Linked DNA regions of Oryctolagus cuniculus. The protein of the gene in region 1 purifies or fractionates together with the protein of each later gene. This does not show direct contact. Links are inferred from orthologs where the notes say so. Each region holds a gene or a part of one and is shown on either strand. Other genes may lie near its edges.

Evidence for each region. Proteins that work in one complex are often made in the same cells at the same time.
Region 2: the proteins of KIF22 (region 1) and KPNA4 purify together in Homo sapiens (affinity purification with mass spectrometry; 3 studies listed by BioGRID and IntAct, counting the BioPlex papers as one, with this or other methods). This does not show direct contact. The link is inferred for Oryctolagus cuniculus from reciprocal best matches to the Homo sapiens genes KIF22 and KPNA4.

What each region holds. Positions count from the first base shown.
Region 1 is NC_091450.1:7,227,353-7,230,869, reverse strand, and holds part of KIF22 (kinesin-like protein KIF22), read right to left. Parts: intron 2,205-3,517; coding exon 2,009-2,204; intron 721-2,008; coding exon 593-720; intron 506-592; coding exon 351-505; intron 169-350; coding exon 1-168. UniProt on the Homo sapiens protein: Kinesin family member that is involved in spindle formation and the movements of chromosomes during mitosis and meiosis. Binds to microtubules and to DNA. Plays a role in congression of laterally attached chromosomes in NDC80-depleted cells.
Region 2 is NC_091435.1:120,222,274-120,225,790, reverse strand, and holds part of KPNA4 (importin subunit alpha-3), read right to left. Parts: intron 2,062-3,517; coding exon 1,892-2,061; intron 1,460-1,891; coding exon 1,415-1,459; intron 1-1,414. UniProt on the Homo sapiens protein: Functions in nuclear protein import as an adapter protein for nuclear receptor KPNB1. Binds specifically and directly to substrates containing either a simple or bipartite NLS motif.

The DNA of each region.
Region 1 (3,517 bases):
CAGCCGGGTGGCTCCTACCGTCCGATTTCGACTGGCTGGCAGGAAGTGCTGCTCAAAGTCAGCAAAGCTAGTGATGGGCTTCTGCGTGAGGCCCGGAATCAGGATATTTCCCCGGCAGTCTTCTCGGATCACCAAGTCCCCGGATGCAGGGTCCAAGAGGTCCAATACCTGTCGAAGCACTGCGGGTTGGGGGCCCGGCTCTCCACACACAGGCCGCGCTCTGCCTGGGACGCAGGGCTGTCCCATCGGCTACCTAATGTTACCAACTTGCTGGAGTGCAGCTTGATGTTCTAGAACTGAGTCGTCTTGACCCTTCTGTCTCTCCCTCCCCAGCCAGAAGGGGGCCTCACCTTTTCCTGGTATATCTCTAAGTAGGACATGGTGACAGAGAGGGCCCATGGCCGGCCCTCGGCTCCCTCCTCCCTCGTGAGCTGCAGGAGGTCCATGAGAGCTCGGGGGATCACTCCAGGCTGCTCCGGGCTGCCCAGCATTGTGTGCGTCTTTCCTGGGGAAGAGTGGAGAAAGCTGTGAGGGCCGGCTCTGCATCTCCCCGCCCCTTGCTGACCTGTAGCGGCCGTGTCTGGCCCCTCACCTGCCCCAGTGGGCCCATAGGCGAGCACGCTGGCATTCTGCCCTTCCAGCAGGTGCCTCAGGATGGGCTGCACAGAGCCTGCATAGACGTCCTGCTGAGAGCTCCGGTCCCCATAGAAAGCATCAAACCTGGAGGCAGAGAGGAAGCAATCAGCAGGGGTTCCGGGCCCACCCTGACCTGGGGGACACTGGCCCCAGGTCTAACGGAGGGCCTCCATCGCTTGTGTTGCACAGTGACCCGAACGAGCAGCCCCGGAACACCTGCTCCGGCCCAGGCCCCGTTCTGGTGTTAGGGATACAGAGCTGCATCGGATGGCCCTGCTCTTGGGGGTTTTGTAGTCTGTGGGGACGGTAGATAACCTAGACTTTGCTGGGCCTCAGGAAACAAAGCTGAGAGCGCACTGGGAGGAGTAACCCATTCTGCTTGCAGAAGGAGGACTTCGCCACCAGAGACAAGAGAAAGAAATTCTAAGTAGTAAGAGCAGCACAGAGACAAGATGTGCTGTGAAAGGCCAGGGCTGGCCGATCTTTCTTCCCACCGCGGCATCTACAGAAGGCGGGATCTGCACAGCCTGGGGGAACACCTCTAGCCCACCCACGGCACTCTGTGGAGAAGCTGTGGCTCAGGGGTTTAGCATGTGGTGGGGGAGATGAGGCTGGGAAGAAACTGAAGGCCAACTGTCAAAGGCCTAGAACAAAGCTGGCAAACTTTTTCTGGAAAGAGCCAAACAGGAAATATCCTGAGGGAGTGGGAGAGGGGAGGGTTGCGGGTGGGAGGGAAGTTATGGGGGGGGGGGGCATTGTAATCCATATTCTGTACTTTGGAAATTTATATTCATTAAATAAAAGTTAAAAAAAAAAAAAAGGAAATATCCTGGGCTCCGCAGGCCACGTGGTTCCCTTCACAACTCCTCAGCCTTGCCACTGCGCCTGGAAAGCAGCCACGGACGCTGCGTAAATAAGTCATCAAACTATTTAGAGAGACTGCTGCTCAGATTTGACCCGCAGGCTGTGGTTCCCCAACCCCCAGCCTAGGATAACAGGCCGAGGAGTTTGATCTTTAAATCCCTCACAGGACTTTAAAGTAGCTGCCCTTGTGAGTTCTGTCCGCGGACCCCGGGGTCTCTGACCCCACCCAGCAGCAGCCTGGGCAGTCTACCTGCCCTGGGCTTCTACCCCCTTCCCACCTGTCGCTGTCCCACTTGCGGCTCCCCGCCCCTCCCATGCTGCCATCTCCCCCCCAGCGTCTGACGCGGCCCACACAGGACCCACGGCAGCAGGCCCGGGAACACCTGCGAGTGAACAAACGCGGTGCGCGGCCCACAGCTGGGGTGAGGAGGCAGGTCTGAGAAACCGTCTGGGCAGGTGGGCATGCGAGCCGGCCCACGAGAGGGAAGCGGAACGGCCGGAACCTTACTGGTATTTCAGAGTCTCCTGGTAGTTCCTCCAGTTGGCAACCTCGAGGGAGCAGCTGTCGATGCCCCGGACGCAAGGGGGCTCACTCGCTGCCGCTGCTCCATCCACGAAGGGACGCAGGCGCACAGCCACCCTTACGCGGGCTGGAGGTGGGCGGCGGCCAGCCCCAACCTTGCTCAGCCGACAGCGACCAGCTCCTGGAGGAGAGATGTAAGGTTTGTTTCTGTTGTTTTTATTTGACAGGTAGAGTTATAGATGGTGAGCGAGAGAGACAGAGAGAAAGGTCTTCCTTCTGTTGGTTTACTCCCCAAATGGCCGCTATGGACAGCGCCGCGCAGATCCGAAGCCAGGAGCCAGGTGCTTCCTCCTGGTCTCCCACGCGGGTACAGGGAGAGAGATGTAAGTTTTAGGCATGAAGTTTGATGGTCACAGCTCACTATAGGGAGAGTCCTTTCCACCCTGTTCCGCCATGGGCAGCCCCAGGTCCTCCATGGCCTACAGGGAGGTCCAGTGGGGTGGCCAGCAGGCTCCTCAGGCTGTAATGAATACACAAATAACTGGGACGATCCGGCTGAAGTGCGGATTTAGCTTCAGTCCCTGGGGCGGAGACCTGAGACAAGGCAGAGTTAGAGAGAGATAAAGATCTCCCATCAGCTGATTCACTCCCCAAATGGTTGCAATAGCTGGGGCCAAGCCAGGCCGAAGCCAGGCACCAGGAGCTTCTTCCAGGTCTCCCATGTGGGTGCGAGGCCCACGTCCTCAGGGCATCTTCTGCTGCTTTTCCAGGAAACTGGATTGGAAGTGGAGCAGCTGGGATGCCGGCATCGCAGGCAGCGGCTTAACCTGCTTATGCCACAACGCTGGCCCCGAGAGCTTGCATTGCTGCTTCTTCTTCTTCTTCTTCTTTTTTTTTTTTTTTTGACAGGCAGAGTGGACAGTGAGAGTGAGAGTGAGAGAGAGAGAGAGGTCTTCCTTTGCCGTTGGTTCACCCTCCAATGGCCACCGCAGCTGGTGCGCTGCGGCTGGCGCACCGCGCTGATCCGAAGGCAGGAGCCAGGTGCCTCTCCTGGTCTCCCATGGGGTGCAGTGCCCAAGTACTTGGGCCATCCTCCACTTCACTCCCTGGCCACAGCAGAGAGCTGGCCTGGAAGAGGGGCAACCGGGACAGAATCCGGCACCCCGACCGGGACTAGAAACCAGTGTGCCGGCACCGCTAGGCGGAGGATTAGCCTAGTGAGCCGCGGCGCCGGCCAAGCTTGCATTTCTAACAAGCTCCCGTGTGCAGCTGCTGGGCATGGTTTGAACCGCAAGGTGAGCAGAGCTGCTCTAAGGACTAAATGTGCTGATAGCCATCCCCACCTAAAACCAGACAATGACCTAATTCTCTGTGCTCTGTTTCTAACCTGGGTTTAAAATACACGGATGTACACACACACACGTGTACACACACACACACACACTCTGCCTATTAATGATCGTTTTCTCCTCATGGAGGATTACATGGGTGTAT
Region 2 (3,517 bases), on another chromosome or scaffold:
TTAAAAAACATCTTTAGAGCAAAGAGCATGTTTAATAAATTTTGTACATTATATCACTACTTGATGTAGCAAAATTCTGATTTTAATTTGTTCTACATACTTTTAGGGGATTCTGGCAAAAAAAAAGTATAATCCTAAAACTGTAAAGAAATGAAATAGCTCATCAAACACTGCTATCACCATAGCAAATCGTTTTTTAAAGAAACACATTACTTTCTGATTATTGCTATCTATATTTCACACATGGATAGTCCCTTACCTATTATATTCCCTAGTTTTTCTAACAAATCAAAGGCTAGTCTGGCTTTTATAAAAAATCAGGTCAGTTTCCCACCTCATTTATTTGTTATGTTTAAAATCTTGCTTGTGCTGTTTTCTTCCCTTGTTTGAGAATAGTATTTTTTTTTTTTTGACATGCAGAATGGACAGTGAGAGAGAGAGAGAGAGAGAGAGAGAGAAAGGTCTTCCTTTTCCACTGGGTCACCCCTCAATGGCCGCTGTGGCCAGAGCACTGCGCTGATCCGAAGTCAGGAGCCAGGTGCTTCTCCTGGTCTCCCATGCGGGTGCAGGGCCCAAGCACTTGGGCCATCCTCCACTGCACTCCTGGGCCACAGCAGAGAGCTGGACAGGAAGAGGAGCGACTAGGACAGAATCCGGCGCCTCACCTGGGACTAGAACCCGAGGTGCCGGCGCCAGTCATTATAACTGGGAGAAATGGAGTAAAAATATGAAGAACAACTGATGTTCATAGGTTTGGTAAATGTATAGGAATACAAACTCATGCATACAGGCACAGTATTTCTACTCATTTTTCAAAAAACAAAAATGTCACTAAGTGCATGTTATCTGTATTATAATTGGCCAGGTTATCAATAAAAGCTTCCATTAAACATTCATGAACAAAGATAATCTTAGTAAGGGAGATTACTGACTAGAAACTTAAAAACTTTCTATATGAGTTTTTCTAACATTGATATACATGAGAGCACTTCAAAATCTGTGGAGACATCAAATTAAAAGACAAGCTTATTTTAGTGAAGAAAAAAAAAAAACCTGAAATCCATCCAGTTTCTTCATAATATACAACTTCCTTGAAGTTTTTGAAGACAACTTGTACATACATACATCTTTATGTATGTACATGTACATTACTGCATAGACTAAAATAATAACTGGGCTTGACTTCCTCACTGAAATTATATTTTATGATACAGGTAAACATAAATATAAAAATACCAAATTTGTATTTCAACCCTTGAAGTACAAAAATCAGATAGTACAATGACATGTCTTCAAATAACATTTTCTCCCCAATTTCCAGCCCTAAACATAAATGTACATAAGATATATACACACACACATAATAAGACATAAATGTATATACATAAACATAGGATAGAAAGCATTTACTCACATTTACGTCTGTATGATGAATTAAAACACAAAGGGCTGGAAGAATCTAAAGAGAGAATTATACAGATTGAAAAATACACATATATAACAACATACATAATGGTATCCTCTTTAATACCTACTTTTAAAAAATTTACTTATTTTCATTTCATTTGAAATATATATATAGAGAGAGATCTTCCATACATTGATTTACTCTCTAAATGCCTGCAACAGCTGGGGCTGGGCCAGGACTAAGCCAGGAGCCTGTAACTTAATCTGGATCTCTGGGTGGGTATCAGAGACCCAAGGACTTGAGCCACCATCTGCTGCTTTCCCAGGGTGCAAATTAGAAGGCAGATGGAATTGGAAATGGACTGGGACTCAAACCCAGGCACTATGATATGGAAAGCAGATGTCCCAAGTCGTGTCTTAACCACTGTGCCAAACATCCACCCCATCAACTTAAAAAACTAAAATTAAAAATAAAAATTTTTACCTCTTGAATGGTTTCCATTGGTGGTGGTGGGTCTTTGTGGCGACATAAGTTGACCATAACCCAAGTAACATTTCTTAAGAATGTTATAGGAATAGATGGACTTATGAACGAAAGTAAAGGTTTCACAACTCCAAGACTTATGACATAATCTCTACACCGGGGCCCATCACCTGTAGAAATAATTTATAAATTCAATAAAATATAGTGACAATAAGTTTTTCAGAAAACATAAAGTACTGGGTCCAATATGTGGCTTCCCATACTTTAAAAATTTCTTATAAATATTTATTTATTTGATATGAAGAATTACAGAGGGGGTAAGAAGGAAGAGAGATCTTCCATCTACTGGTTCACTCCCAAAATGGCCTTAATGGCTGGCTGGGCCAGGCTGAAGCCAGGAACCTGGAATTCCAACTGGGACTCCCAAGTGGGTATCAGGGACCCAAGTACTTGAGACATCACCTGCTGCCTCTCAGAATGCACACGTGCAGGAAGCTGCATGCATTGTATGTGGAGCGGGACTTGATCCCAGACACTCTGATACAGGATGCAGGTTTCCAAAGTGGCAGCTTAACCTGCTGCACTGCAACATCCACTCCTGCGTTCTGGATTTTAACCAGATGTATTACTTAGTTTCTAGTCAGTGATAACCAAGTTCATACTCTAGGCCTTAGGAGCCATAGATCTTTGGACCAAAAGAAGCAACATAAGATGTTACAGTACTCTTTTAAATATTATTCACATGTGGGACTTTATAAACTGCTCTCTTATCAAATGTCTTCATACCAGCTAAATTTTGGAGGGCTTACGGTTTTCAAAAATACTTTGTGGGTGGATAACTGCTGCTTTTATCTTCTCTTTCAATGTTATTTCATATAATTAAAAAAGTATAGGGGCCAGTACTATGGTGTAATAGGTTAAGCTTCTGCTTGCAGCGCTGGCATCCCATATAGGTACCAGTTCAAGTCCCAGCTTTTCCTTTTCTAATCCAGCTCTCTGCTTATGGCCTGGGAAGGCAGCAGAAGATGCCCAAGTGCCTGGGCCCATGCTCCTGCATGGGAAACCCAGAAGAAGCTCCTGGCTTCAGGATCGGCTCAGCTCTGGCCACTGCGGCCATTTAGGGAGTGAACCAGCAGATAGAAGATCTTTCTGTCTCTCCTTCTTTCTGTCTGTAACTCTACTTCGCAAAATAGATAAATAAAATCTTTAAAAAAAGTATAGAAATACTCTTACAGAGAAAATATGTGTTGAATTTCCATGTATGACTCAGTATCAGTGGACCAAAACAGTGAATGACAAATTATTCTGTACACTTAGAAAACTATGTCAGAAGAAAAGATAGTCCTATAATAGTCCTAGAACAATGATTCATTCCCAATGTGGTTTTTGGGCTTGTGCTCAGAGCAAAATCTCTGTGGGTACAGGAGTCCGTGTTTTAATAAAGTCTCTATATGATTCTGACAGTATGCTAAAGTTTGAGAACTAATGCCACAGAGAACTGTCAGATCAATTTCTGAATTGTCACTGTAATTTCTAATATGAAGGCATGCTGAAGTTACTATCCTGTGAAAACATTTTTTTCCTGCACTAAAATATTTAGAGATAAAACAATTGCTCCCTTTGCAC